Linked DNA regions of Oryzias latipes. The main gene of each other region encodes a partner of the protein of the gene in region 4 in a complex. Links are inferred from orthologs where the notes say so. Each region holds a gene or a part of one and is shown on either strand. Other genes may lie near its edges.

Region 1 (4,612 bases), on a different chromosome or scaffold from region 4:
AGAGCAGACTTGGAGAAGGGGATAATAATGTTAATCAGCCATGCCATCTCTTTTACTTGTGGTAAGTAGTAGAGTTGCAACGATTCCCCTTTCCCCCATAATTAAAACCTCAATTTTTGGGTCACGGTTTAGTTTCGGTTCGATATATGATTTGTCTATTACAAATACACAAAAACCTAAAAATTCAGAAAAATCCTTTTTTTTTAATTTGCTAGAAAGCAAGAAACGATGAAGAAAATCCCTCTACTTGGCTCATAATAAGCCTGGGTTAATGTAATAAAACAATAATTGCTAAAACCTTCTTTAATTTAGCACAACTTTTGGACACATTCAATGTAAACATACTGGTATACAGTAGGGATTCCCTAATCGGTTTAATGGTGTAACATGTGGTTCGGTTTTTGAGTGACAATTGTGGTATCCCTAGAAAGTAGCTTTGTGCAGCTAGATGAATTTAAAACTGCAAGTTTTAAACAGGATAAACGTAAAAACCTGTAATTCAAGTCTTAGAATTTCCCATATCTGGACACGCAACCCATTTGTTAGTCTAATAAGTGAAAACAGGGTTAAGGGATGAATGCAACACATGGACAACTTACAAATATATACCCAACAACTGCAACTTTGCTAAAAATCTGTTGCTGTGTTGCAGAATCCTAACTTGCACCTCTAACCTTTCCCTGCACATTCCTTCACTGTAAACCCAACGATACATTTTTCCATCCCTACATTTGTCACTGTAGCCTCTAACCAGGACACTTGGTGTGTCATTAGTGTTTTGTCCCATCCAGGACTCCCCTGCAGGAACCCTGCCAGTGAGTAACTGCTGAGGCACTCGCCAGTCATAAATATTCTCAACAAGCCGGCTGATGGATGGTTTCGTTCACCCTCAGTTTGAAAGGGATGTTCACGATGGCCAATAAAGCCACAGTGAGTGAATGAGAGCTTTTTTTTTCCCCACAAGGGAATAGCCACGAATGAGACGGTGACAGAAATGCAATCGTTGTTTTCTATTGTGTCAAGCTGAGAAGATTTAAGACTGCTTATATTGGGATGCATCTCCCCATGAATGCGTAGAAAGTCACACAAGATGCTTTTAAAAAGTTAATGGGGTAGCTTTAAGTCCCACACACTCCCTGCTTTTTACACAGTGCTGTAAAAAAAGGAAATATTTCCTCACTCTCTTTGTGATCATTCGTTCAAACCTCCTTTAGTAACATGTTTTGTGTACCCTTGCAGTGATTTGTTTAATGTAATAGGGACTGTTATTGCTCCTCAACCTGCACCTCACCTGAAAAGCCCCCAGGACCCCTATGTTGTTGTGGTTCTCAGCAGCCTGAGCCCAGTCCACTGCATGCCTTTCCACTTGACTGCCTGTTGTGGTAAGACAGTTAACTCGCTGACTACAGGATGAAAACTGTGAAAACACTCTGCTCTTTTCTCCTCCGCCCTCAAAAACCAGAGTTGTGCACAAGAAAGCATGACACTGCACTCAGTCAAAAAAAAAAACCAACCCATTTTTTACATATATATTAAATGAAAGTGATATGCTTGATTGCCAAAAGCCATCTTTGTTGTGTGACATGTTTGTTTCCTCAGTGTTCCTGAGGTCATGGAATTCTTTTCACACATAAAACTATTATTAGGAAATATTTCAATAGAAATATATTTGAGAAAGACAGCTTCGTTTTTCCAATTGTTGGCAATAAATGCGTAAAATAATACCATAAGAAGAGTTCCTGCTGGTTAGGTATGTGGAGTGTGCCATCATAACAGCCTTACTGGAGATCTTTTGTTAATGATTGTCAAATAACATCAGCGTTTGGTTCACTTTTGCGCACAGACACACTGAAGCGTGCCTCCCACGGTCTTATGACTTTGTCGATCACAACTGCCTGCCTGCCTGTGTGTGTGTGTGATGAACAGGATTTATCGTACCAGAGAGAAGATGTTGGAGTGGCAGTCCTCAAGGCTTGCCCCGTTAGCCACCCAATTCGCCGATGCAGTCATAATCGTCCGCCTTTGGGGTCGTCAGCGCATGGCATGTCGAAATCCTACATCGGTTGCTAGCACCGAGCAGGGGGTGACGAATCGGTTCCCCTTGTGAGTCTGCCGAAACCAGCAGGCTTAAACCCTCACAAGGAGGTCCCGGATAACAGGCTGTACGGGATGGTCGGTGGAGGAATGGGCGTATTCAGAAAGAAGTGCAGAATGCATCCAATGAAGCCCGAGCTTTCTTGTAGCCTGAACGCAATAAATCCAAGCATGTGCGGGGATCACAACATTACAATCCGGTCCGGGCGATTCCACATCTGATCGCTGACGGAGAGCAGCTCCATTTCTTCAATCCACACACAAAAGACCAGACCCTTTCCAGAGCAGTCTGTCCGCGGATAGTTTCGTAATTAAATCACCATAATCCATCAGAGATCGAGTGCCGTCTTCTGCGCCCAGGAACAGAAAAATGCAAAATTACGCATCAACTTTGTTCTTTAGACGAACCGCATGCGCATGATCGACGGCGCGGAGAAATAATAAACGCGCAGATATCACATGCAGGATATCTGATTCCGTCTGCTCCAACAAGCTGATGCACCACTTGTGATAGTTTTCGAGAATTGCATGCGCTATTTATAGCCTTCTTTCTTGCCACAACCGTTCCTCTCACAATGTAACCCAGCCAGGCTCACACAAAACAGGCGCTGCGAGCACGAACGAAGGTTTTAATCCCTCTGTTGCTTTTCAATCAAACGATCGGGCAGGCTGTAGAATGAGAGAGGGGAGGGGGGGGGGGGGACAAAGTCGAGCTCAGAACCATGAGTCAAACCGCTCAGGCAAGAAAAAAGTAAAACACTCCAACAGCAGGAAAACGGCAGGCGACTGTAGACGGAGGTTAGAGAAAAAAATCCTTCCTTCCTTTCAGTTTTCTATCATTACGAAACGTCCTCGCGCGGCCACAAAAGCCTCAGTCTTGCTCAAAAACATCCAGTACTATTTCTACAAAAAAATGTACACTCGAAGCAGCACACACAAAAAAAGTGGCCCTCCTCGTCTGGCGCCGAATTTATTGACAGGAAAGAATATGTGGCGTGCGTTCGATTCCCCCCAATGAATCCGCTTTCTTCAAGAGAAATGAATTGATTGTTGATTTAAATCCTCAGACATGTGCATGATTTCCTCCACCGCGACTGCTCCTTCCTCATTGTTTATGTCTCGCAGCGGCGTTATTACACTGAGATGGGCGTGCGCAGCCCGAATGTGTCACCCTGTGCGTGCGTGCGTGTGCGCACATGTGTGTGTGTGTGTGTGTGAGAGAGAGAGAGAGAGAGAGAGAGAGAGAGAGAGAGAGAGAGAGAGAGAGAGAGAGAGAGAGAGAGAGAGAGAGAGAGAGAGTGGGCTTGTTTTTACTCGAAGCTCCAAAGCGTCTTGTTTTCTGCCGCAAAACCATCGCGCATTGTGATGTAATGGAGGTCTGAAGCTCAGAATCGCTTTTCCCAGTTGGCCAACTTTGTCATCACGTGACCTGAATCTGGCTTTTACAATTCAGGTTTCTTTGATGCAGCTTTAAGAAAAACAAAAACATGTGAAGTTGTTTTTTTATGGAAAATACCAATAATTAAGGCCTGTGTTGTTACTGCTTATTTTGTTAAGACGATTGATTCTTTTTTTAATACTATTACATTACTATTTACTATTACATAAAGGCCTATTATAAAGGTATACATATATGGGTCCTTCCAGAATTGGAGGACATTTGGGCTTCAAAATTCCTGAAAAGTAAACCTTCACTTTTCTGATCTTCTGCTGCATATCTATCAATAAGTATTAAACTGTCAAATGCTTGAATAGCTAAACTTACTGATCAATTGTACATTTTTTTATTAAATTATATATTTGTTGTTTACAACATTTTCCAAATGTTTTTGCAGGTAACAGGGTCGAAAATGTTATTTTAGCTATCTCTCAGGAGTGCAAGCCAGTTGTTTAACTAGCTGTTATTGATCACCAAGAGGACGAACTTACTCTTGTAAATAAGTAATTCTTCTTCTACCATGTTAAAAAGGTTATGGTAAAGGGTTGCATGTACATTGTGGGACACTTGTTCCTTTGATAACTGTTTTGTTGAAGATTTAAATTTGGACATAGAGGGGGTGGGACAAGGAATAAAATCGCATTTTTTTAGGGGCACTCAATGCTTATTTGGTATTTTTTAAACAATTGTAGGAATTCTTTTCTTGTAGTTTTTGTAGATTTTGTTCCAGTATAAGTCCTTTTTATTAACTGCAGGGTTTTTTTTTTGTTTTTGTTTTTTTTTGTATTTTGTATGCAGAACATTTCATAATGTGATGGTTGCGACATAAAATGCCCTCCAATTCGAAAATGACCCAAATACATATCTTAATATGCTTTAAGAGCGTTAAAATATATACTTCTCATTGACATTGTGAATGTTGGAACACTGTGCAAGTGTTTGCTTTGCAGTAAGTCTTGACTGTGGGTGCAGCATCCATTCACTCCACATGTATGTAACCTCTCTGAGTAGGATTACTTGAGTCGTCTCATTCTAATACATCCTTGTTCTTACGGTCCTGTACCTTATCAACTGAGCTGT
Region 2 (3,209 bases), on a different chromosome or scaffold from region 4:
GACTGACCTTATCTGTAGAGTTGTAAAAGTTAATAAGAGATCCAATCAACAGATCAAATAATCTAGTCTTTTCTGAATTCTTGAAATTGTAGATCAAAGCAGAAAGCACAGCACCTGTAAATGTAGAAGATTCCTTTATAGCACTGAGGCCCCCGGGGGCCTCAGTGCTATAAAGGAATCTTCTACATTTACAGGCTGATCTTCTGATGGACCCCTCCTCCCAGTCCTGAGGCTCCTTATCCTCCAGGACTTCCAGAGTTCGCTCAACCGATGGCGCCTCGTCTCTCATAAGGACATGAAGGGCAGCTGCCTCGTCCTGACCACAAACTGAACCCCCAGGCCACAGCTGAAGCGGCCCACCTGCAGAGACACGCACCGGGCCCAAACCCGTTTCATGATGGGCTGTGATATAAGGAGACGGAGGCGTGTGTGGTTAAAATGAAGAAGTGCTGCCACTCAGATCAAAACGGTGTTTTTAACATCTTCGTGAGGCTTTTTTCTCATGATGGAGAACGTGCATTTAGAAAATTAGTGTTTCTTTATAAAACTCGTGACGTAGAAAAGAAGCTGGGCGGGGCCACAAGCTCCCAGCTCCGCTCCATTCTGATGGACTCAGTTGAACGGATCCATGAACGACCTTGTTTTCCTCGTCTGAGCTGGAATCTGGGTCTAAGCTGCACGGCTGGACAGCTACGATGTTGCTCGCCGCTAATCGTCACCGCTAATGCTAGGTTGTAGGCTAGCGGGGGAGAGTGTAAACAGGTGGGTGACGGGAAGAGGGGGGGTTGCTCCACTCCAACAGTCCATCCAACGGCTCAAAGGTGAATTTCTAATGAACTCCTGCCACTCTGGAGAAACTATGTCCTTGAAAACGAGACAGTTTTTTCATTTTATTTTGGCTAAAACAGCATTATCATAATTAAAAGACCACTAGGAACACTTTGAAGTAGATCAAAAGATTAGTGGGACTTTAAACACCAGATTAACCAAATTAAATGAGTTTTTTTATTAAAGACTTTACCCTCGTGACAAACCACAAATAAAAAAACAACACACACTGTTATAAATATACAAAAGAAAACTGACAAAACATACAAAAGCAGGGGTTTGCAAGTTGAAATGTAGGTCTGACAGCAAAGCGAGACTTTGAGGGTTTCATTCCGTATCCTGTCACTCCTATTTTCACCCCTGTTTTCCATCGTTCCTTCCCAGTCCTCCATGCAGGGAAAACCCTTCAATCCGACCCAGTCAGGACTCGGCCGGCGACGGCTGGCCATTCGCTCCGCTGCGAGTGCGCAGCTGAGACTGGGCGATGTCTGCCAGCGCGTGCTGGATCCTCTTCAACAGCATGTCGCCGCGGAAAACCACCTCCTCCAGACGAGCGGCCGCCTCGTGGTTCTCCTCCTCCAGCTGCCGCAGACTGGCTGCCTGGCGACGGGTCACATGGTCCATTCAGAAAAACACATATTTACAACAGACTTCATGCTGATCCAGTGTTACCCTTGTGCTATCTTGTGGGGTCCAGATGACCCCGCCCTTACATTGACTCTGCGCCAGATTGACTCAATTGAGTGTTTTAAAGCTCAAGTTAAGACAATTTTATTCAGGAGAGCTTTTAGCTGACTTTTACTTGTGTTCACTTCTGCCTGTTTGTTTACTTCTATGCCTGTGTGTGTTTTATTGGGTATTGCTACTGATTTTATATTGTTTTAACATTGTGAAGCACTTTGTGAGTCGCTCTCTGTGAAAAGTGCTATATAAATAAAGAGTTATTTTACTTTACTTACATTGGCGTGTTCTCCCTACCATGACAAAGGTGGATAAAGGTGGAAAGATTTCATGTAATCCATGGACACCAGTGAAGATCACAAATCATTGAAGAAAAAAGGTTCAGCGCACTGTCTAGTGGGTCTAGATGACCCAACTCCCAATGTTAACGTGCCTAACATTGGGAGTTGGGTCATCTAGACCCCAAAAGACAGCACAAGGGGATGTGTGCTCTGTCATCAGACCATAGAAAAACTATTAAACAAAGACTTCTCCTTATAGATGTGTCAACATGTCTGAAGAAATGTTTTTATGTACTTTAATACCTAAAAAGAAGGAAAAGCGTATAAGAGAGCATGCCAAGTCTAGTCTAAGAACAGAATTCTCAGTAAAAACTTGTCCCAGTGAGTCGATATTTTATAGTAGCAATCTTGAGTCTATGCAGCTGTATCATTTACCATGAGAATGACTTTGATCAGTCTAATTGATAGGAGCCGGTTGATTTCATCTACTGACAGCAGGAACCTTTCCAGATTTTGCTCTGGCTCCCTCTGCTGTCTGGAAGCTGTAAACGCTCCAAACTTTTCCCCCTGACTTGCTGCTGGTGGTTCCTGGAGTTTGTGGCTCAGTGAGGAAGTGTGGGTGCGTGACCATGCTGACCTGCAGAGCCGCCGTGGACTCCTCGCTGGGCAGAGAGTCGATGAGAACGTCCACATCTTTGGCGGTTCTGGCTATGAGAGCCGCAAACAGCTGAGCGTATTCTAAAAATAAAAAAAGAGGAAGAAAAGTCACTGTAGAGAAGGTAATGTTACGTTATTTCTGGTATTTTAACGCTTCAGCTTTCACTGAATAGAGGATTCCTCTCACACACTTAAGAAATTTGTGCAGTTTTATTTATGAAAGTCAGATTTTCTTTTTTTTCTTAAAGTCTGGACAGTTACTCAGTAACAAAGTATGTATCTCATTAGTCACCATTTATGTTTCGTCAAATTTGTATCATTTATTTTTAAATATGGACAGTCGTATTAGAAAATCATCAGTATATGGTAATAATTCCATAAATTACGACACTTATCTGAACAGTTACTTATTTGTTTACTCCTACATTGAGTGAAGTCTTTGGATTACTACTTTTAGACATTCCATAGTATTATTAGGAAACAATAACTTCTCTTACAGTCTTTTGCAAAAGTATTCCCTCCCTTGGATGTTTGTCCCTTTAGTCGCTTTCATAAACCCCCCTTGGTCTATAAAATGTGTCTTTCCTCACACCAAATTCTCTATGGGATCTAGGTCTGGGCTTTGACTCGCCCACTCCAGAACATTTCCCCGGTTCTTTTGAAACCATTCCTGTGTAGCTTCTGCCGTTTGCTACCTGGAGAACAAATCTCCTCCCAAGCCGTAGTTCTCTTGCAGACCGATAAAGATTGTCCTCAAAGATT
Region 3 (4,890 bases), on a different chromosome or scaffold from region 4:
AAGTTGTGAGGATAATTACCTGCTCAGAGTTCTCTCTGGTCAGGAATTTCAGGTGTGTGACAGCTGGGTATTTGTCCCTCCTCATTGGATCGGTAGTGCAGCGCAGAAACAGGGATGGTAACAGCTCTGTGTCAATGCGACACTTCTCACTCACAACACTAACCACCACCTGAATACACAGTCAAACAAAGTTGAGAAGAAGAACAGGTAATAGCTTTAATGGCTGTAACCAAACTGACCTTGTAGAACTGGACAGGAGAGGAGCTGCTTCCATCAGTTGCTGCAACCACAATGTTACCTCCCCCAGTGAAGGCAATATCAGCTAATGCCACCCGTCCTCGAAGCCGGCACAGACTCTCACTGGCCGTCAGCAAGGAGCCGCCTGGCTTTAGCAATGACACGGAGACCAAACCGCTAACTGTTACTGCTAACCAGCCTTCCATTGGTTTTCCTCCAAACAGGGTGAGAGAAGGAGAGAACTTCACCCGGGAGAACTTTTCTCCAAAGTTTGTGGAACCAGACTGAAAGCAGAAGATGTCGTGTCAATTTTTTACTGGTTCTGGGGCTTTTCTACTATGTAGAAGGTGCCTTACCATCTCCACATGCAGAGCCAGTTTGACTCCATTATGCAACCAGCTAAGGGCAATTATGGGATCTCTATCCAAAGAGCTAGACAGGATGCTCTCCCAGCTGTTTACCAAGTGATCAGTCATGGACCAGCACTTAATCTGACCATCGCCATCGGCAGAGAGCAACCGTGATCCTACACACACAAGAACACAAGCACTTGACAAAACAATAACAGTTTAATACTCTGAAAAAAGTCAACTAAAGTAAAGCCTACCTGACTGGTCCCATTCCAGGCAGGAAATGACCTCAGTGTGACCAGAGTTGATAGAAAAGACATCCCAGGGGTGCTCAGTGTCGATGATGTGGATCATGTGACTGACATCTGAAAAAGAGGTTCAGGTAGCCGGGACCAAGAGTTGGACGTGTGTGCGTGTGCGTGTGTGTCTGTGTACCCTTCTCATTGTCGTCACTTTTCAGGTCTGTGGTAAACGCCACCAGGTTCCTGCAGGACCACGAGCACACTACTGGTATGGATGGACAGTGAGCGTTCTTCTGTCGCTTCTCCCAGTCACAGACATATGCCAGTTCCATGTCCAAAGGGGAACAAAGACGCCTCGTCCACACCTGACCTGAATGGGAGACAGAGGAACACATCTGTCACTAAGTGAACACATCTGTATTTCAAAGCAGGTTAGAGGTTAGATCATTGTTAAGGAACAGAATAATTAACCATGTCAAGCATTATATTTAGTAAGTTTCCATTTAATCCTATTTTGATCTATTGTGAAAACATACCCAGTCAGGGTAGGATTCTTAAAACATCCAAAACACTATTTCCATCACAGTGGGTTTTTTTTTTTTAACCAAGTGAAACCCACTGAGATCAGATCTCATCTTCAAGGGTGACCTGGCCAAGAGGTCAGCAGCATACGCCACATGAATAAAGTCACAATATTAAACAAATATGACACAGAATGATGACTAGAGAATTTTACAATGTAAACTTAAAAGTTGAAAGTGAGGATCAACAAAGTGACTTGGTAATGTTAGATGGGAATTTGTGTCATTTGGAGAGTACAAAAGTAGTGAGTAGCATGACATTAATAGCCATCAGTTATCAGTTCACGTTAGAAACACAGACATTGAAGGACGGACCGTTTATATTTGACTCAATATAATGAAGCTGAAAAATCTAAGTGAAGAAAGTTCAGACCATTTATGAGGTTTTACTAAAATATTTTTAAAACGTTTGCAGATTAAATTTGTGAATCTCCAATCTCCATTCCTTCACTACAGGAACTAAATTCAAAACTAGTTTTGAATTTACATTGAGTTTAATGGTCAATGGAGCCAAAACCTCAACTATGAGAAACAAAATCTGAAAAAAATACAGAAAAGCACATTGTCCAATTTTTAAAGAATTCATTCGTAAATTATGGAGGAAAATAAGTATTTGGTCAATAAAAAAGTTCAAGTCAATACGTTGCTATTTACCCTTTGTTGACAATGACAGCAGTCAGACGTTTTCTGTAAGTCTTCACAAGGTTTTCAAAAACTGTTGCTGGTATTTTGGCCCATTCCTCCATGCAGATCTCCTCTAGAGCAGTGATGTTTTGGGGCTGTCACTGGGCCACACAAACTTTCAACCCCCTCCAAAGATTTTCTATGGGGTTGAGATCTGGAGACTGTCTAGGCCACACTAGGACTTTGAAATGTTTCCTATGAAGCCACTCCTTTGTTACCCGGGCAACGTGTGTTTAGGATCGTTGTCGTGCTGAAAGATCCAACCATGTCTCATCTTTAATGCTGATGGAAGGAGGCTTCCCTCCAAATCTGACCATACACTGCTCCATTCCTTCTTTCCTTTACGCAGATCAATCGTTCTGTCATTGCCATTCATTCATTCATTCATCTTCTAATCTGTTTTATCCCTCTCGGGGTCGCGGGGCTGCTGGAGCCTATCCCAGCCACTCGCGGACGAAGGCTGGGGGCATCCTGGACAGGTCACCAGTCTGTCACAGCTGTTATTTCCAGCAAATGAACTTTTGTCATTGATCATTAAGTTATTTTCTATCATAATTTACAAATAAATTCTTTAGAAGTCAGACAATGTGATTTTCTGTTTTTTTTAACTCATTTTGTCTCATATTAGTTAAGGTTTACCTATGATTAAAATTACAGGCCTCTCTCATTTTTTGAATTGTGAGAACCTAAACAATTGGTGGCTGACTAAATACTTTGTTTGCCCCACTGTAAGTAAACCTTGTATGTATTCGGTCATTTATTTAAATTCTACCATAAACTTGAATTTGCTCACATGACAGCACCACGAAACACATCAGTCTTCTGGATGTTTACCCCAAGTTTTTATGAACAACGATGCAAGTTTGAATTTCCAAAAGAAAAGTGTTGCTCGTCAACAGTTCGGTTTTCTTGACTTTCTTTACAAACAAACCCAGCAGCAAAACTCCAGAAAAAACGTGATGCAAATGAAAAGAAAAACCCGCTGACTTAGTCTATTATGATGAACTCACCTATTTGAAACTGGCTTTCAAAAGTTAACAGCCAAAACTGAAAGAAGTTTTAAGAACGACTTCAGAAAGAAAACATAAATACGAGTTGGAAAGAACGGCACTTTGAAAGAAACAAAGACCGCAGCAGAGACTGGCGCGTGTCAGGCCCCCGTATATGTGTGCCTATACAGCTGCCTGTCTGAAAAATATGTTTAGAGTACGAAATAAGAAAATTAGGCCCAGACAATTTATTACAAAGCTTTCAACTTAAGTAAAAACATTGAAGTAATTAAAAATCCACACTGTGTCTTCTACAACGTTTCTAATAAATACTTTTATGATCCTATTTTAGTCTGGCTAAACCCGAGGTAAACCTTTTTTTCCCTCTGTAACTTTATTAACAAGGAGCAAAATACAAAGTTAAGTTGAATACATTTTCAATTCTCACTCTCAAAAGAAAAAGCAATACTTCAAAATGCTTTTTCATTTTATACTTCAACCCAGCTTTTTCTGTCACTTAATTAAAATGATAAAGAAAATGGTATTTGACATTTCATTTTCAAAAAGGTCCCTGGTAAATGTGTAGCATAATTCATTTAGAAATGTCTAATTTGACAATTAAAATGGATTAACAGAAATGCTTTTTAATTTTCAAAATGTAGCTGCATTTTTTGACTCAAAATTAAAAAGAAAAAGCAATATTTCAAAATGCTTTTTCATTTTATACTTAAAACCGCTTATTCTGTGTCATAATTAAAACGAAAATGCAAAGAGGGGATTGCATTTGCATTTTAACATCCACCCTGCGCACCTTGTCACAATATTCATTTCGAAAAAGCATTAGCAGAGGGGAGGCGGGGCGATGACGTCACTGCTTTCTCTGTGTGTCCGGCTGCTGACTGACGCACACACACGCACCAGGAGCAGACTGTGTTAGTGGCAGAGAAGAGGGTTTTGTGATGGTTGTGAACTTCTGATGAGTTTCCACAGCTTCTCAGGACTAAGTAGCTGCATGTCCGCCTTCTGCGGTCCTCCTCCTGACGCACCGCGATCGCTGAAGGCGGAAATGCTGCGGCGATCTGAGAAACCATCATATGAATTTGTGTTTCCAGTGGTGTCCAGAACAAAATAAAGACTGATTCCCACATATTTACACATTTATTTGCAGCTTTGCGGTGAATTTGCTGTATTTTTTGAATTTGATGTATTTTCTCTCATATATTCCTGTTTTGATGATTTTAATACTCATTTTGTTAGTTATAAGTTCTCTGTTTTTAATAAAGGAATGTAGGGTGTGAGAAATCTGTCAAAAAGAAACATAGTCATAAAAACAAAGTTGCAAAAAAAAGACATGAAGACAACATTTTAATTTTACGTTTGAATGCGATTTGTCTTTGTTATAAATACGACTCTTGTTTGTCTTGAATACCAAATTTACCTTGATAACAAACTGTCAAAAATACGTCACATGGTCACAGGCATACGAGTCCCAAAACGTTGATTCAACTGGGTGAGCATGTACATTCATGTACATTGGAGACTCTTCTTAAACTAATAGAATTACATTTTTTAGACTGCTATGATGAATGAATGAAAGAATGTTATAGGTCTGGCTGGAAATCTGTCTTAAAACCAAAAAAAAAGTCATTAACATCACTGTCCTGCTGAATTTCTTTGTTGTCAGGTGAGAACACCTGGGGGGCGTATTCCAGGAAGCATGTTTAAACTACCCTGACTTTAAGCCTGAACTCTGGCTGAAGTCCGCCTGAACTTGCTTACTCTGGTTATGTCGGTTCCTAAAGACCGG
Region 4 (4,836 bases):
TACCCAGTTGCCACCGGGCTTTAATACTTTTCTTAAATAAGCAAAATTCCCAAGAGGTAAGCACCAAACACAGAAAAGGTTTTAAGGTTTGTCATAGTGTGAACGTGACAGCCAAGCAAAAGCTGCATATTCGACTTGTAAATCTTTGTATCTTGCCTTTTCAATATAAACTGTCAGACGATCATTGAGAACAACCATCTCCTGCTTCTCATTGGTGCGTGTCAACTTGAAGGCCTGGTTTTGTGCTGCAGCCACATCCAGATCCATCTTATTCCCCGGTTCCAGGGATGAACCTACACAAAGGACCCCCATACTTGAACTGCTGCAGGAGCCCAAAAATAATGGTGTAAGTGGCTTTGTGTTGTGGGCTTTTTGTGTAGCTGGCTGAGGTGATGACCTACCTTGTCAGTTTTTGCTTGGTGAGTGCTCTATGCCCCCCCAACTTCCACCCGCCACTTCGGTTGAAGCTGGCTGAGCGGTGGCGGTTCTCTCTCCTGGTGGGAGAAGGACTGGAAACCCGGAGGTGGGATGTTGAGGCAATGTTGTCCTCAAAACAACGGCGGTATGAAGACATCCTCTCCGGGCTTCGGCTCATGGTGGCTTTTAAGTTGATGCAACTGTAGTTGGAAACTGGAAATGGAGCCTTTGCTTCTTCTGTCAGTCTGAGGAGGTGGGGTCTTTATACACTTCTTGGCCCTTCCCCTAACACTACAGTGAAATGCTGAACCCTTCCATACCAAGTATGAATGCCTGCACAGGCATCTATCAACAACAAGCCAAATAATTTGGCCTATAGGCTGTTGAAAGAACATTGTGCTTCGAATGATGAAGGACTTAATTAATTTTGAAGTAAAAGCTGAATTAAACATTACTTTCAAATGTTAAGTACAAGCAAAATGAACAATACAAACTGATTTTTAGTTGTCTTAATTACAATAAAAACAAGTAAAACATTTGAAAAAACAGAACACCACTGACTTCACGAAAGGCTAATTGAAATTAAATAAATACAATAGAATACAATTTCCTGTTTTTCTATAGGGCTACGTAATTTGTTTAGACCAAAGAAAAGATGTCTGCAATCGCTGATCGCTAAATCGCTAAAAGTCAAAAGTCCTTAATTGCTGCTTTTTGTTTTTTTAATATTAATAGACTATATTAGGTATAACCCTTTACACAATGTAGAATAACTATAGCCAAAATAAAATAATTAAAAAAAAAAACAACTTGTAGTTGACTTAACCACAAACAAATATGGTATAAAAGCTCTAGTTACCCAAATGCTTTAATATTCAATTGAGTTTAGGAGATAATCAATGAACCCTTTGAAATAAAGGATGCTATGTTTATTTGACCACTTTCTTTATTTCCTTTTTCCCTTCTGTTGCTTGAAAACCTCATATACTAGCCTCATCACATCTACTTTAAACGTCTAAACATGGTAAATGGCATCTTAAACAATTAGTTTTATAAATGTTTTAATCATGCAAAACATGTGAGTATACCCTCTTTGAAGTAATCGTGTTTCCCGACATTTACAGGAGACTGCGGAACCAATCTTTGGGCTCGTCGGAACGTTATTCGTGATACACCAGCTCTGCCACTTTAATTACTTTTCTCGCTGTCTCCGCTCTTTTGTTGGTTAAAAAAAACACAATTTTCCTTTCTGTAAATTTCTACCTCAACTGCAGTGATGGCGGGTAACTTTTGGCAGAGTTCTCATTAGTGAGTTTTTGTTAAAATAATATCGACGTTGTGTGTGTTTTTGTCGTAATCATCAGCCGCTTCGCTTGTGAGGCCTAGCTAGCTGCTATTTTTGTTCTGCGTTGAAGCTAACAGTTTACTTATAGCATTGTGGTGTAAAAATAACACTTGGGGAACACACTGTAACTAAAAATGTGGACTTTCTTTCCTTTGAGCTCCAGCAATGGTTCTTGTTTTCGTTGTGTTTTGTTGCCGTCACGTCAGGAGCTTGTTACTGTTAGTCAAGTGAATTTGACCCGTTCAAACGTCTGTATAAATTTATCATATAAAGTAATCTTGCTTATCTTTTAAAGTCTGCAGTGGGTCTTGGACAAACAGGACCTCATAAAGGAGCGCCAGAAAGACCTGAAGTTTCTCTCGGAGGAGGAGTACTGGAAGCTTCAGATTTTCTTTGCAAATGGTGAGTTTTTTTTCTAATACATTCATGCAGGTTTTGGGTCTGTTTCCGGGTCTGTTTGAAAACATGAGAAAATCTTGAATAGTCACGAACAAAACCTAAATCACACACTTCAACTAATGTTTTTCATTTGGTATTTTTCAGTTATCCAAGCTCTGGGCGAACATCTGAAGCTGCGCCAGCAGGTCATTGCTACTGCGACTGTGTACTTTAAGCGCTTCTACGCCCGGTAAGGAGCTCGAAACGCTTTTTCCATAAGTTAAGCTGTTGGTATTTTACACGTTTGTGCTGACAGCTCATGGAGGGTAAAGTGTGAACATATTGGGCAGCCCTAATGAGATTACATCAGTGTTGATGACAGTTTCATTTCTGCAGAGCATCAACAGCTTTTGTGTCCGGGAGCGGATAAGTTGGTCTGGTTTATTGAACCCTGTAACAAAAGGCTGTCGACATGATGTATCAATGAGTAAACAAAGGAATGTTTACTTTTGCTGACATTAGCATAACAGTTAGGAAGGCAAAAAAAACAAAAAAAAAACTTTCCTCTTTTGTTTTAAATTCTTTCCCTTAACTATACTGTGCTTACTACCCATGTAGCCATGATTATCTTTGGCTACTCTTACTTTTTGACGTCGTCAGCATTTCTTTCCATGATCTGTTTGTTTAATATTTAAATACCTTGTGTCATTTTGCAGGTATTCTCTGAAGAGTATAGATCCGGTGCTCATGGCTCCCACTTGTGTGTTCCTGGCCTCTAAAGTTGAGGTATAAATTTGGTGGAATCATCTTTAACATTTCATGTTACATTTCATTTTTAATCATAAGTGAGACACATTTTAGGGTCTTTAACTGCTTCTTTAGTACACACGATAATCTGTTTTGTATTGCTTATTTTCCTGTAGGAATTTGGAGTCGTGTCCAACACCAGATTGATCTCAGCCGCCACCTCTGTATGTAAGTGACCCACATTGTGGATCTCAAATTTAAGTTTTCCCTGTTTTCATTTGGAGTTTCCAGCAACACAAATTTTTTTTCTTCTGTTTTTTTGTAGTAAAAACAAGATTTTCTTATGCCTTTCCAAAGGAGTTTCCTTACAGAATGAATCATGTGAGTAAAACACAGTGGAAGTAATCCGATTACGTCTGTGATTTTATGAAAAAGTTAAGAATCATGAACAAATCTGACGATGCAGAAATGTGACGGTAAACAGTAAATGCCATCAAGGTTTACTGGTTTAAGTTTCAAGAAGGTGAGGTCACATCAAACTGCTTCCTCTGCAAAGTTATTTATGTGCTGCATTGCAGCTTACCGAGAAGCCTTCAGACTGTATCACAGTGTTGCCACATTACTGCCTATCAGTGCGTTAGATTCCTCAGCTAATGTTCACACTCTGCTGACAAAAAAAAAGTCAGTCAGGGGGCTTGCTGCTCAATGCTTTTGCCTCGCAGATCTCCAGAGTTTCCAGAACAAGACGGCTCTGACGTAATGCTATATAAGCTATAAATTACGGAGGGGGGGGGGTTCAGACGGCAGAGATTGAGGTAGCAGAGGGCCGTGACTCGTAAACATCATTCATCTTGTGGACATTGGACACTTAGTAAAAGTGTGACAATGATGAAGTGCGAAGCTGTTAAAAGCAAACAAAGTCATCATCTGTACAGCAGGAGGTCAAAGGCCAGTCTGATGACGAGACTTAATAAATAAAAATGAATTCACAAATTTTGGGGGGCATTTTCAAAGTGAAAACATGATTAAATGTCTTTTTGAAATAATTCTAAACCTCTTTTTTTTCCCCCCAGATTCTAGAATGTGAGTTTTACCTTTTGGAGCTAATGGTGGGTGGAAATCTAGATAAAAAGGATGAGTTGTTTCATAGAGAGAAGAATTGATCCTTGATTGGCTTAATTTTTCAGGACTGCTGCCTGATTGTGTACCACCCCTACAGACCTCTGCTGCAGTATGTGCAGGACATGGGGCAGGAGGACATGCTGCTGCCCTTAGCATGGTACGTTCTGCCTCGTTTGAACAAAACCCATTGATGTTAGCTTATTTTTCCGCTGGAAGGCTTTGCATTGTTTTCTGCCTTTACCAGGCGAATAGTGAACGACACGTACAGGACAGATCTGTGTCTGCTCTACCCTCCCTTCATGATAGCTTTAGGTAAGAAATGCCTCTTAGGTTTTGAAAGTAGAGCAGTTTAACTCACATTTCAAAAAGATGGATTAATTACTGCTTCTGTTCCTCCATCAGCTTGCCTACATGTGGCCTGTGTGGTGCAGCAGAAAGATGCCAGGCAGTGGTTTGCAGAGCTCTCTGTGGACATGGACAAAGTGAGATTCTTACCTTACTTTGATGTCCGTGTTGCACGCTTGGCTCTAAATGGGTGTGTGTGTGTTTGTGTGTGTGTGAAGATCCTGGAGATCATCCGCGTCATCCTGAAGCTCTACGATCAGTGGAAGAATTTTGACGACAGGAAAGAGATCGCTGCTGTTCTAAACAAGATGCCCAAACCTAAACCGCCTCCTACCAGGTACGTTTGGAGTCCTGTTTTCTTAATGGCTTGTTTAAATCTTTTCAAAGTTTGTATGGGAGTTGGACAAACATGGACATTTAACAGGAGCCATATTATTATCAGAAAACACAGAACGGTACATTTCGGGGGGGGGGGGGGGGGG
Region 5 (4,853 bases), about 790 kb from region 4:
ATTAAATAAAAGTTTTCTTTTCTTGGAAAACCCTGCAGGAAACTGATTAAAAAATATATATATTTTAGTGTGAATCTGATGTTTGTCATTTAACCTTCCTAGGGACAGCAGATTACGAACATATATCATTAAAATCTGTACTATATGATGTTTCTTCCATGATTTTAACTGTTTTGTATAAATCCCAGATCTATTTCGATCTATTTCTTACTTGGATAAGCATTAAAACACACGTTCAGGGACAAGAAAAAAAAATGAATCCCCATGGATCCCCATTTATTTGGATCTGCCACGCACACAGCATGGAGAGCGATAATCAGCTTCACGCTCACAAATCAAGCAATGGTGAACTTTACTGTAGGGTCAGTAAATACCTATAGCTGGCTTATATGTTTATTCTAAAACTTGACTTTTTAAACTTCCTCCAGTTTATCTAAACACCAGCAAGCTGTTAAACAAGCACAAAGAAGAGGCGGAGTCGGAGGACTTCCTTTTTTTAAATTATTGCATTACACACAAAATTTACAGACATTATGTGGGTTTTTGGTTACCGGTAATTATTAAATTAGAATTAAAAATTAAACGTAAGAATTTCTTGTTAAAAGAAGGGCTTGGTATCGCAACCAAACTACTGATTTGATTTCAAATTACAAGTTCACAAAATGATTTGCATGACAAACTTTGCTTTTAAAACCACTTAAGTTTGATTATGAAAAATTTGTTCTTAGAAAAATTATCTTTCAAATTGAGCAAAAGTGGAAGTTTTATTATTAGAACTAAGATTGGTCATGTTTTTATTAACAAAAAGCAGTTTTTTTTATGCCTGAAAAAAATATCATTTAATACCGTACAAGAGAAATCTAGCATCACATTGAAAGTAAAAAATGTTTTCAATTTCAAAATAAAGTTCATGCAAGAAGGGGTTAAAGTAAAATTAATTTATTGATTTGTTAAACTGATCCTTGCTGTTTTAATCCAGCCGTAGTTGAAAGAAATCTAGCATAGTTAAATGCTTTAGAAAGACAAAAAATTGTAAAATCCTTAAGTGTGTGTGTTTGGGTGTGTGTGAGTTTTACCACAGATTGAGTTGATTCTTGCTGTAGGTCTGAAACTATCCACAAAGTCTGATATTAAACTGCCCAAAATCTAAAAATCAAACACAGAAAACCCCAAAAATCAAAGACATGTTTCAAAGAATTGAAGATGTTAGGGATGTACATTTACACACTCGTGTAATTATTCACATACCCAATGTGAGAGCTGGCCTTCTGGGTACAGTTTTCTTATTTCTGTTACAGCAAAGTATGCTGGGAGGAGGCAGGCGTTTCTGTCCAAAATGTACTCCACCACCTGAAAAATGGGCAGAAACGACTATCTGAGAATTACGGTTTGTGTCAAGACAAATAAAAAACTGGATCTGAATTACAGAATTCAAGAAAACGGGAATGATCTGTACCTCCCTGGCGGCCAGCAGCTGCTGGAGTATAGCTGAGCTGACAGTAATGGGGACGGTCTGAATTTTATCCAGAACACCTTTCAACAGATCGCGTACACCCTAAGGAAAATATAGAGCAGATTTTAAAAACAAAACTAAATTCTTTTAAAGTCCATTAATGTCTTTCAAGCTTAAAGGAGATTTATTTTTAGTGCGTCAAACACCTTGTAGTCCACCCCTCCGATTATTTTGCGGATGAGCTTGAAGGTTAAAGCCCATAACTGTGTTCTTTCCCACTCCAAGCTGTCTGAGCTAATGAGAGCTACACACACCATCCTGAAAGCAAATGAATTCATCAAAGGAATGAGTCACACAATTTCAAGCCTCACAATGAATAAGCAAACAAGCTAATACTGTCATTTTCAAAAAGTGGTCAAAGCAGAAATGCACTTTGAATTAGAATCTGCAGAAATGAATAAAAAATAATGTGTTTAATAGTGAAAATATAAGGAAGAGGAAACACTCAGCTTCAAAAAACTTTATATGGAGCTTTTATCTTTTCATAAATTGCATAAATGAATGTAAAGAATGTGGGCAGACTATGATAAATGAGTGTATGCACCTGGGAGGCAACAGACTAGTCTCCACAGCCATTGCAAGACAATCATACAAGAAGGAGATCCTTTTGGGACTGCGCTGAGTGTGTATGAAGCGCACAATCCACTGAACACACTGCTCGTGAGAATCCTGAAGAGGAAAAAAAAGAATAAATATACAGAATATGATGTATCTTTGTGTATAAATGTTTAAGATATTAAAAAAAATAAGTTTAAAAACCTGTGGCAGAGTTCCCCAGTACTGTCTGAAGGCTCCCAGACAACTGATGAGTTTAGTTCTTTCATCCTCTGGAGTGTCCATGAACATCCTGAAACCCGAAAATGCCAGCTTCACTTTTTTAGTTTAGGAATAAGAACCATTTGTTGTCAATCCAACACAATGTTTAGGGGTGAAATATGTTTTAGGAGCAGAAAATAAATTAAACAAACTACAGATTTCTATTCTTTTTTTTTAAAATCAGAACTAAAAGTCAAAGCATTTTGACCTTTTTTCAACATGTTTATTACTCATTATGAATAAAAGTTAGTAACAAGCTTACCCAGCAAAAGCTTCTTCTATTGTCTCAGTTTTCTGAAAGATTGAGAAGAAGAAAATATGATTTATGATGTTAAAAGAGATCAAAATTCAAAATACAAACAACCAAAAATAAAATTTTCCTATTGACAGCAGTCAAAGGAAGAAAATAGCCTTTGCTTCAAAAATACCTAAACAAAGACTCATTCATTTTGAGGATAAGTGCCTTGTTAACAAAAGCATCACCACTGACAACAGATTATAATCCAAACCTGATACATTTGTTTGTTAACAAGTGTTATTCACGTGTAATTTAATTTGTGTATTTTAATGCAGGTTATCTACAAAAAAAAGATAGTTCGCAAAAATACTAACAACAATAAAAACAAGCATCATCAATGCTAACAGATCCTCTGTCGTGGATCCATTTTTGTTATAAGGTGCAATTTACCACGACATCTTCAAAGATGCTCTGCAACTGAGACTCCATCGAAAGCGCCATATCGATCATTCAGAGTGAAATCTGACCAAAAGTCACTACGCTTTGTTGCAAACAGAGCTCCAAACAAACGGCATGCTAATGTCTTTGGAGAACGAAGCGCCACTTCGTGTGCAACTGAAAAGTGATCCGGGTGAACACTTGAAACACACACTAAATAGTTCCGCTACGCTCTAACTTTATGTCCACCTACTAAAAGTCATGTTAATTCAGCGCCATAAACAGTCGCGGCGGGCAACACCGAGAACTTTGGTCTCTTGTTAAAAAAGAAAAAAAAAACTTATGCTGAAGATCAGATAAACTATCTGTTTCAAGAAACGGGGATTCTTTATTTTCAAATACACGCACTGCTTGTAGCCCACAAACTATTAAGGGCACTGATCAAAACATTACTCTACTGTTTTAACTCTCAACCACTTAATAAACTTTCTTGTTTATTCGAAATCAGTGACAACAGTTAGTTTGCAAATTATCCCAGTAATGTGACATAATTTAGATGAAAAGTCAATGGGTGTTTCAAAATCATTGGCTGTGGTAAACTAAAATAAAAAAATGACGAGGTCGTGACCATCCCACATTAATTGCACCTGCTCAGGTGTCGTGCGCGCGGACAGGTACAGCCACATTCCTTTCTCAAACACGGAATTAACGCGTCGTTGAAAGGGGATTTTTTTTGCAGAGCGCTCCCATTCATTGAGCGCATTCTTACCTCTACTTCCTTTTTTCCACTTTTAGTTTAACAGATTTTTTATTTTACTTTCTTTTTAGTTGAGAGGCAACCCGATTTCTTCAATGCGCGTGAAAAGTCACTGGTCCACGGCAGGTGGAGGGACTGCGCAGCTTGATTCTCCTTAAAAATAAACTAACCCCCGCGCGCAAGGATGTGGACAGCCTTCGTGCTAATGAACCTCTTGGGTCTTACCTGCACAGGTAAGAATTTGTTGACATGTTATTGTGTGTTAAAAGAAATCCTCGCGCGCTGGATGAGAAAATTGGTCAAATGTGTCCAAAAGGAGAAATCCGATCTAATTTTCCCAAGGCTTTCTGTCATTTCATATTGACTATCTCCTTTTTCTCAATAAAAAATAAAAAAGCAAAATGATCAATTAACAGACTTTTTTTTAAACATATAGGTTACTTTTAACAGCTATTAAAGAATTATTTAAATCTTTGATTTTTTTTTAAAGACAACAAGTTTATAAACGTGTGTGATCTGGTTGTAAATGTAATAATTTTAAACCTTATTTAACAGTTCAAGATAACAAAAATAATCAACTTTATAAAAAACATAGATGGTTTTTTTCCATAATGTTTACCTTTCTAGATGAGTTTGCTGTTAATTGATCAATAACAAATCAAAAACGTCTATCATTATTAACTAAATGTAAAGCTAAAAATGCAGTGTATGAGCTGTTTTTACACAGTTCTGTGGCATTTATGACTTCTGTGAAATAGATACTGCTAAGGTCCTAAAACTCAATTACATGCCCTTTTGTTCTCTGAGGCTTTATGTAAGTATCATATAACAGGGATTGATCTATAAAGGTTTCTTCTGAAACTTTGTTGAAACAACAAAGATGTCTTCTGTAGGTGTTAATGGCATAAACTCTTAGTTATACCCTTTAAATTTCTGTCTTTATTTAAACGAGCTGCAGCATAGTTCTCTTTATTTGATTTTTTTCCAGATCATTTAAGGCATAATCCACCTCTGCATGTGCATTCATCAACTGTTTACTTCCTTTTATGTCAAGAATGACTTCTCATAGCTGACAAACTTTTGTTTATTTG
Region 6 (4,136 bases), on a different chromosome or scaffold from region 4:
ACTTGGCACAGAGACGGCCTTTATGGTCCTGCGACATATTGGAGTAGTTAAAATTAACACTGTGACACTATTTGGCAGAGAAAGACAGTAAGCTATCTATAACGGAATCTTTTCCCGCATTCACCTTTTTCCTGCTGCAACCCAGCAAACAGCAAAACTGGCTCCTAGATTTTATTCTCAAAACAAGTTAATAGATAACAAAAAATATACATTTGTAAATTTTCAGCTGTAGTCAAATAAGAAAGAACAGTTTAGGTATCAAAGTATAAAACATAAAGAGGAGGAGTTTCCGGCGATGAAGTGCTTCCACTGTAAGAATCCAGTGTTTTAGCATGAAGGATTAGCGTGCTCACGGTTTGACCATTTACATGAAAATCTAATGCTCACATTGTCTGACCTTAATTAACTGACACTGCTTAGGCCTCTGGATAAAAAGGAGAAACTACTCATGATTCATTTCTTGATTACGACGAACATTTAAACCAAGAAAGAAACAGAGCAGATGTCTGAAGCAGGCGGCCGGAACTAAAACTGAAGTCCTTCAGATCAGATCCATGAGAAGGTCGTCCTCCATGGCGCTGGAGACTTGCTGCATCCCAGTCTGGGGCACGGGTCCTCTCTGCCCGCCGGCCATCAGCATCTGACCTGAACGCAGGAAAGTGGCAAAAACATTCCCGTCTTTAGCAAGAATCGGAGATTTTCCACTTGATTTTCTTGAAGTCCAACCAGCAGAAGCATTTGCTAATGGACTTACACTGTCTATCTCACTGTTTGTGAGAATGAACAAACCGCACACGTACAGATAAACCACGCAAAGAACACGTGAATCAACGTAGAACATGAACCGTGCGTGATTATTGATTTTGATTGATTTGATTTTTGATTTTATTGATTTATTTCAAGCATTGTAGTCAAAGCAATAAAGAATTTACACATATTTATCAAACTCATTACAGAAATGATGAAATGCATAGATTAAAAAGACAGAAAACAAAACAAAAATGTCACTTAAATCATATATGCTTAATTAAATACAGTGATAATTAACTGAGGTATAAGTAGAGTTTGACCACCATTATGACTGCACCATTATTGCGCAGTTTATGTGCAATTCATGAGTGATTCGTGCTTCAATTATGTAATTCAAATGAGATATGTGCGGCGTTTATATATACAAGTTATATGCGTGAAACGCCCGTTAGACTTACGTGGAGCGGTCGTGGAAAGCCATAAATTTGCATTCCGCAAAAATCGCGCACAACTGCGCAAGATTTCCGTAGCAATTGCACGTAAAATACGCAAAAACCGAGCCAAAACTTTGAACAGCTCAAAACCAAACCCACGGCGGACATCGACAAATGACTAAGACTTTACGTATATCACACATGCATCATGAAAGGCCAAAATGTCATAGGTGGAAAATGTGCAACATGTACGCAGTGGCAGCGTGACGCAGCTTTAAGTGCCGTCGAAGAGGCTTATGTAACTCTGGGGTACTACTGTACAAAAATGTTTTGTTGTTCTACACAATAAAAGCAGCATTTTTACAAAAACACTTCATTAAACTCACAAAAGATCTGCTTTCATTTGAAAAGTGACTATTTTTAAAACACCCTCATAAGATTTCTTCTAAAAAATGTTCGACATGTTAAATATTTTTATTTATAGCAATGTTTAGTCTTTTAGATAACCTCCATATTGACATTTGTGTGGGACTCTCCCCGTTGTGACGGCTGTTTGCTGACCTGGCATGGGTTGCCTCCACTGGCCTTGCATTTGAGCCCCCCCTCCTGGTGCTTGGTGGACCAACTGTTGTCCTAGGCCTTGGTGAGACATCATGCCCTGCATGTGAGGAACCCCTCCCTGCTGCTGGGACACAGACACAGACCCTCTCAGCTCAGAGTTTTCCTACAGGACAGGTGACGGAGTCCTTCCCTGCAGTCTTACTGGCTGCTGCTGGCTCAGGAGGAGACTGCGAAGCTGAGGGTTGGCTCCTGGGGTTGAGAGGCGAAGAATGGGACCCTGAGGCTGCGCCTGGGTATTCTGCACCATCTGATTGGGCGGAGCTCCACTAACCGCTGACTGCTGATTGGTTGGTCCAGCTGTTCTTATTGTCATCTGAGTGAACGGTTAGCAACACAGTTTTAATCTGCACATGAGAACATCTGAGAAATGTTGACCTGCAGAGAAATGACGCTGTAGAAGTAAATCATTCTGTAAGGTTAACGTTTGGCAGAAATCTGACTTTCAGCGGATTTTGGAAACAAAGTCTGAAGCTTGAACAGAATTTATCATCAGCGATTGTACACCTTAACCTAAAAACCTGAGGAGAAACTTCCGCTTTAGTCACATGCACTTCTATGGGGATGCTGCAGGTTTTTGGGTCGTTCGGGCCCGTAGAGGGTCATAGAGACCCCGCATCTTAGGAGGAGCGCAGGTGTGTCTTGCTGTTCCCTTAAGGGACGTCATAAAGTATTGGTAAGTATTTGCAAGGATAATGTAAGTTCCACGCACGTGTGGCGTTCAGGTGAAGCTGTCGTCTGCTGCCCTCATGCCTCTATAGTCGCTGGTAAGGTGCGAGTCCCGGCCCCTTACCGACCGCGCACAGATGTCGCACACACAGGGTGTGCATTTGATACGTGGGACGCCTGGAGGCCCACACAATCTACACTCTGATTGTCTAATTTCCTCATTTCTAACAGTCAGGCTGAAGCGGGGAGCGTGCACGTATCACGTGAAAAGCACTAACACGGCGCTTGCTCGGTCTACAGGATTTGGATAACATGAAAAATCCATACAACCCGCATGCGCCTCACCTACTTCCCCCTTGCGTGTTTGTTTAAGAGTTCGCTGGGAACAAAAAATGATGCATCAGCATTTTCACTCACAGGCTAACTGAACACCTTCAGAATTTCCTGCGGGTTTGACTCCCCGTATCCACCCATAAAGGGGCTGCTGGGACTTTCAACAAGCTTCAATCGTTTCCCATCTTAATCGATATTTAAATTGTAAAACCTCTGAATGGCACCAACATGTGAAGCCACAGGGTTGAACACATATTCTGAACACACAAACACACATGTTAGCTAAATATTCAGCAGTAAAGGCATGCGGTAGTAAAAACAGGCACTGAGATGGTAGTGACAGTCTGAAAAGGTTATATCAGAACTCAAAGAAATAAGAAAAAGTCCAGCCTGGTGGAATCGAAACGTGCTGAATTGTAAGGAATCTCTTTGCATCTCACCATGTTGTTTTGTCTCTGCTGCTCCTCCATAATGGAGACCTGACTAACAGGAGGCATGCCCACCACCACAGACTGGATGCAGCACAGGCCAGAGTGGTGGAAGCCAGAACGCAAAAATGAAGGTGAAGGAAAAAGAAGAGTTACCAGTCAAACATGCAGAAGTGCAAACGTGCAGAAGAAACCCGGTGTCCAGGAGCAGGCAGGCATCGCCAGCGCAGAGCCCTGTCATTTACCTGAGGCTGGACGTTACCGTGGGAAACGGGAATAGGACCAGGGGCCCTGTTAAGAAAGTTCTGGTTGGGGGGAACTTGACCAGGCTGCATTGGGCCCCCAGATGCACCCATTTGTTGCTAAATGACAAAAAACAACACAAACAAACAAATCAAAAAATCGTTTGGTCATTTTTTTGGTTCAGTTTCCTACTCTTAAAATTAGAAAAGCACCAGATTTATTTAAAGTTTTTTAACTAAAATAAGCTGAAATGACAAAGAACTACAGAAAACAATAATTTTCTTATATCTAACAGCAATCAGGGACTTTTTCTAGAGTTGGAAATAAAGAGTTAAATCCAAATTTAGTCTTCCAGGCATCTAATATTTGGAGTCTCCCTTCATGTTTTTCCATTGTTTGGTTGCTAAAAATACTCAACAACAGAAAACTAACTTTATGTACAGTAAATTATGATGCCATTCAATAAGTAGAAAATCGAATCATCCAATCACGCTCTGCCAGTAAACTGTCAGACTAAAACACAAACATTTAGGTCATTTTCATCCTTTTCCCTGTTGGATGCTCGTCATTCCCGATTTCAGATGACAGCAGAAAAACAACAGAAAGACTGAACAATCAATCACTGATCATTTGTGACCAAAACACAAAGCTGCTTCATCAT
Region 7 (3,558 bases), on a different chromosome or scaffold from region 4:
AGTGATACAGAACATTTATGTTATGTGACCGGAACTTCTCTTTTAGTGGTATATCACTGTGGTATATCACTTTTTAATGCACATCCAGCAGCCCATCAGAATCGAGAATTCACCATGGTATAACACCCATTTACCAATGCAGAAGAGCTGGAGGTTTGAACATGGCTTAGAAAGAGGAGGCGGGCATGGTGGTGGTAGATGCATGGTTTACCTGGTAGTCTGGGGGGATGATGAGGCCACCTGAGGTAGTGGTGGGCGGGACAACTCTCACTTTCTTCAGAGGAGGGCCCTGTGCATGGCTGTTTTCTGGGTTGCCTGTGTGCCCCGCCCCATTTGTGTGGTTATTTCCTTGTTGCTGCTGCTGGTTTTTCTAAAATAAAAGCCCCCCCCCCAAAAAAAAGATCATTATAGTTTTACACCAACGTTTTGCTGTATGTACATGTTTCCATTATTTGTCTGGACACAAAGTTCTTAAAAAAAACAAAAAACTATTTGAATAAACAACAGATTTTTACTTTGTCCGCTTTGTCTTCTGGCTCCTCTTCTGTCAGGAATTCCCTCTTGGGATAAGGAATCTGACATCCGGCGAACACACTGCAGAGAAAAAAGGCAAAATAATCTATCATCTTCAAACATTTATTCCCCCGTCTCAGATCCAACTAGTGATGAGACGTTTCCAAGAGGTCCCTTGATCATGCGAGCCGAGTGAAGAGCTCGCACAACACACACACACACACACACACACTGGGAATAAACTCGTATTTGCTGTAACTCACTCAGATGTGGGTAAGGGTTCCTCGAAAAAGTAAGGGTCCTGCATCGCCTGCTCAGAAGTGATTCTGCGGATGGGGTCCATGGTCAAAAGCTTTTGGAGCTGTAGTGAAACACACAGCCAGAGTCTCAAAAACAGAAATACAAGTTAAGAAAGTTCCATTACTGAGGCTTTGAACTCACCAAGTGGAATGCTTTACTGTCTGGTTTGACTTTATGTTTTTCCATGTACTTTATAAGGCTGCAGTTTGTGTATCTGCAATTAGATTAGAAGTAACTTTTTTTAAAATTTCTTTTAGTGAAATCAAGACACATTTTTAGGAATATTTATGCACTTGCTATATTATCTTGAGGAAAAATCCAATGTTTCTTTCACTTTGCTGAAGCAAAAAATGAAAAAAGACTCACGTGTTCCTCCGAAAGTCTTTCATGAGTGTGGAGTGCTCTGGCATCTTTTTGATGTCTTCCCAATCTTTATCTGTTAGATGAGGGGAAATGCAGTGACATTCCCTCATTTACTTCATAAACTGCACTTTTTAAGTATACTTTTGTACCCTTCAACTTACAAGCCATTCTCTATTTTTTAACTGAGAAGTGGTGCTTTTTTGACTCTCTTTTCAGTAAACTAGCAAATAAAATCTAAAAATATAAACTTGCTGATTTTCTGTAAACATAACAGCAATCTGTCCATTTGATTTCTGTATTAGACTTTGATCACAGTTGAAATGACTGAAGGGAAAAAGAAAAAAATCAGATCAAGTGAAGTGGAAATTATTGGTACAAATGTAGCCCCCCAACTAAAAGGTTTTACATTTTAGAGTCTGAAGGCTGATGTTCACAACCCACAGACTGCATTACCAACTTCAGAAGTCAGCAACATCAGAAGCAAATAAATAAAAAAATTTCAAAGATGGAGGTAAAGTTTTTAAACGTTATTTCTATACTGGAGAGGCAAAAAGCAGATGCAACATATTTTCCCCATGAATTCTGATCGCAGCTGAATCTTACCAGCAGGAAAGCCCATGACATTAAAGATGCGGTCCAGTTGGTCATGGTGGTAGGGGTTGCTAGTCTTGATGTCCTCCTGGCGACAGTGGAATATGGGTTCAGATGTCAGCAGCTCCGCGAAAATGCAGCCAATTGCCCAAATGTCTAGCAGAAAAAAGGGAACAAATGGATCCATGATTCATGGTTTCGCCTAAAACGGTCACAAAGCTTTAGAGAAGACTATCTCACCGATGGCTTTGGTGTAGTGCCGGGCTCCCAGCAGCAGTTCAGGTGCTCTGTACCAGAAAGTGACTACCACGGGGTCCAGGTCGGCTAAAGGCTTCAGCGGTGAATTGAAAAGACGAGCAAACCCCATATCGGCTGCACAACAGGCATGTTTTGAGTAAAATTAAAAGGAAGTCTTAACCATTGTAGGCAATTTGTAAATGTCCAGTGATGCATACCGATCTTTACTCTGCCCCTCTCAGGCCCTTCTCCCATCACTAAAATATTAGCAGGTTTCTAAATAGGGCAATAAAAAAAACAATAAGTTACAGTAAAATTTGAACAAGATAAGCAACAGCAACTGTCTCTTTTTTGTTGTTGTTTAGTCCAATTTGTGAACTTGACTTTCACTGTAAAAGTAAATGCATTAAACAAAAACTATTTGTTGCTGCCCTCTAGTGGACAAAATCAAAACTTCATAAGCTGTATTAGCTTTTTTTGTAAATTAAGCTCAGGTGCTATATTTTCTGAGAAAAACAAAAGGAGAAATATTATATGAAAAGAAGCCTATATCAGTTAAAGAAGGTCAGCACTATTTAGCATTTTAAAGGATAAGTGGTAATTTGCACTAAACCCACGCTGTTTTTACATTTAATCCATTTTTTTTTCTTTACTTTGGTTTTTTTCTTTCTATTTTAGCTAAAAAACCTTCACCCTCCTAAACCCCAATCCTCTTACAAGGTCTCTGTGTAGGACCCAGTTGGCATGGAGGTAATGGATGCCATCCAGAATCTGGTAGAGCAGAGACTTCACCATTCCTCTGGGAAGCTGAAGCGGCTTCTTGTTGGCCTTGGATGCTCTGTGAAACTTTATAATGTGCTACGGGAAGACAAGAAAACAGCAGCTGTACCATGAATGAGCACATTTACCAAAATGGACTCTTTTCTACAGATCCACACACTGACATGTGTGTTCTACAGGCAATATGGTTTAAGCATGTGTTTCCACTTCTGTGGAGGGGGAATGCAAGTGTTGCAGCTCTGCGGCAGTAAAAGGTATTTCACTTACATTCTCTGCCAGTCGTAACTGCTTACTTAAATGGAAAAGGGTTTAACTACCAAAAAGCAAAGTAATTCTTCTCATGACACCAACAGACTGGAGTGTTGTTGTTTTTTTCTTTCTGAAGTGTGAAGCATCAAAGGGGCGCATTCCCGCGTGTAGAGAAAAATCTTCAAAGTACTGACGTGCAGTGTAATTTATGTAACATATCGTTGAGCATAGGTGGGGATTTGTTACTTGTGAAAAAAGTTAAAGTAGAAAAACATCGTATTGGCTCTCCCCTCGCACAGCAGTAGTGTGATTGATGAGTAGTGCAGTTCCAGTGTGTGTTTCCATTTTACCCAGAGATCATGCTCCGCATAGTCAAAGAGCAGCCATACTTTACGGTCCGCGTGTGACAGGAAAACCTTCTGCAGGGAGATGACATTGGGGTGCTTCAGCTCCCGCAGCAGCTGCAACATAAAACCCTTCAGCTCCATGGCATAAATCAGGAACGACAAAAACACACAGACCAGA

Evidence for each region.
Region 1: ccnc (region 4) and med13l share a complex: the UniProt entries of both Homo sapiens proteins name them as parts of the mediator complex. The link is inferred for Oryzias latipes from reciprocal best matches to the Homo sapiens genes CCNC and MED13L.
Region 2: ccnc (region 4) and med21 share a complex: the UniProt entries of both Homo sapiens proteins name them as parts of the mediator complex. The link is inferred for Oryzias latipes from reciprocal best matches to the Homo sapiens genes CCNC and MED21.
Region 3: ccnc (region 4) and med16 share a complex: the UniProt entries of both Homo sapiens proteins name them as parts of the mediator complex. The link is inferred for Oryzias latipes from reciprocal best matches to the Homo sapiens genes CCNC and MED16.
Region 5: ccnc (region 4) and med23 share a complex: the UniProt entries of both Homo sapiens proteins name them as parts of the mediator complex. The link is inferred for Oryzias latipes from reciprocal best matches to the Homo sapiens genes CCNC and MED23.
Region 6: ccnc (region 4) and med25 share a complex: the UniProt entries of both Homo sapiens proteins name them as parts of the mediator complex. The link is inferred for Oryzias latipes from reciprocal best matches to the Homo sapiens genes CCNC and MED25.
Region 7: the proteins of ccnc (region 4) and cdk8 are in contact, whole or in part, in a crystal structure (PDB 5CEI), measured with the Homo sapiens proteins. The link is inferred for Oryzias latipes from reciprocal best matches to the Homo sapiens genes CCNC and CDK8. Residues at the interface, in NP_005181.2 of Homo sapiens: Met1, Ala2, Gly3, Asn4, Ser8, Ser9, His10, Gln13, Phe72, Tyr76, Lys79, Ser80, Ile81, Asp82, Leu85, Leu93, Lys96, Val97, Glu98, Glu99, Phe100, Gly101, Val102, Tyr130, His134, Leu136, Glu137, Glu139, Phe140, Tyr141; in NP_001251.1 of Homo sapiens: Met1, Asp2, Tyr3, Asp4, Phe5, Lys6, Leu9, Arg13, Gly58, Ile59, Ser60, Met61, Cys64, Arg65, Ile67, Ala68, Leu69, Arg71, Glu72, Leu73, Val84, Leu86, Ser87, His88, Arg91, Lys92, Val93, Asn145, Trp146, Val147.

The regions. Positions count from the first base shown.
Region 1 is NC_019870.2:12,442,723-12,447,334, reverse strand, and holds the start of med13l (mediator of RNA polymerase II transcription subunit 13-like), read right to left. Parts: upstream 3,218-4,612; 5' UTR 2,011-3,217; coding exon 1,939-2,010; intron 1-1,938. UniProt on the Homo sapiens protein: Component of the Mediator complex, a coactivator involved in the regulated transcription of nearly all RNA polymerase II-dependent genes.
Region 2 is NC_019881.2:3,903,123-3,906,331, forward strand, and holds the end of med21 (mediator of RNA polymerase II transcription subunit 21), read right to left. Parts: intron 2,529-3,209; coding exon 2,428-2,528; intron 1,429-2,427; coding exon 1,249-1,428; 3' UTR 983-1,248; downstream 1-982. UniProt on the Homo sapiens protein: Component of the Mediator complex, a coactivator involved in the regulated transcription of nearly all RNA polymerase II-dependent genes.
Region 3 is NC_019862.2:1,605,139-1,610,028, reverse strand, and holds the start of med16 (mediator of RNA polymerase II transcription subunit 16), read right to left. Parts: upstream 3,263-4,890; 5' UTR 3,105-3,262; intron 1,200-3,104; 5' UTR 1,162-1,199; coding exon 1,023-1,161; intron 953-1,022; coding exon 845-952; intron 764-844; coding exon 594-763; intron 522-593; coding exon 240-521; intron 170-239; coding exon 20-169; intron 1-19. UniProt on the Homo sapiens protein: Component of the Mediator complex, a coactivator involved in the regulated transcription of nearly all RNA polymerase II-dependent genes.
Region 4 is NC_019882.2:15,127,703-15,132,538, reverse strand, and holds the start of ccnc (cyclin-C), read left to right. Parts: upstream 1-1,567; 5' UTR 1,568-1,693; coding exon 1,694-1,725; intron 1,726-2,057; coding exon 2,058-2,164; intron 2,165-2,305; coding exon 2,306-2,390; intron 2,391-2,856; coding exon 2,857-2,926; intron 2,927-3,063; coding exon 3,064-3,115; intron 3,116-3,212; coding exon 3,213-3,268; intron 3,269-3,960; coding exon 3,961-3,996; intron 3,997-4,074; coding exon 4,075-4,166; intron 4,167-4,253; coding exon 4,254-4,321; intron 4,322-4,411; coding exon 4,412-4,491; intron 4,492-4,572; coding exon 4,573-4,691; intron 4,692-4,836. Other genes in the region: glial fibrillary acidic protein, read right to left, coding at 157-322, 402-595. UniProt on the Homo sapiens protein: Component of the Mediator complex, a coactivator involved in regulated gene transcription of nearly all RNA polymerase II-dependent genes.
Region 5 is NC_019882.2:15,918,624-15,923,476, forward strand, and holds the start of med23 (mediator of RNA polymerase II transcription subunit 23), read right to left. Parts: upstream 3,202-4,853; 5' UTR 3,078-3,201; coding exon 3,018-3,077; intron 2,624-3,017; coding exon 2,592-2,623; intron 2,361-2,591; coding exon 2,273-2,360; intron 2,183-2,272; coding exon 2,058-2,182; intron 1,772-2,057; coding exon 1,660-1,771; intron 1,556-1,659; coding exon 1,457-1,555; intron 1,351-1,456; coding exon 1,249-1,350; intron 1,147-1,248; coding exon 1,077-1,146; intron 1-1,076. Other genes in the region: interleukin-20 receptor subunit alpha, read left to right, coding at 3,947-3,995. UniProt on the Homo sapiens protein: Required for transcriptional activation subsequent to the assembly of the pre-initiation complex. Component of the Mediator complex, a coactivator involved in the regulated transcription of nearly all RNA polymerase II-dependent genes.
Region 6 is NC_019866.2:3,590,882-3,595,017, forward strand, and holds the end of med25 (mediator of RNA polymerase II transcription subunit 25), read right to left. Parts: intron 3,595-4,136; coding exon 3,478-3,594; intron 3,317-3,477; coding exon 3,245-3,316; intron 2,119-3,244; coding exon 1,948-2,118; intron 1,870-1,947; coding exon 1,746-1,869; intron 646-1,745; coding exon 542-645; 3' UTR 158-541; downstream 1-157. UniProt on the Homo sapiens protein: Component of the Mediator complex, a coactivator involved in the regulated transcription of nearly all RNA polymerase II-dependent genes.
Region 7 is NC_019878.2:17,538,641-17,542,198, forward strand, and holds part of cdk8 (cyclin-dependent kinase 8), read right to left. Parts: intron 3,495-3,558; coding exon 3,384-3,494; intron 2,863-3,383; coding exon 2,722-2,862; intron 2,281-2,721; coding exon 2,223-2,280; intron 2,140-2,222; coding exon 2,008-2,139; intron 1,924-2,007; coding exon 1,780-1,923; intron 1,250-1,779; coding exon 1,180-1,249; intron 1,028-1,179; coding exon 955-1,027; intron 875-954; coding exon 777-874; intron 595-776; coding exon 516-594; intron 371-515; coding exon 212-370; intron 1-211.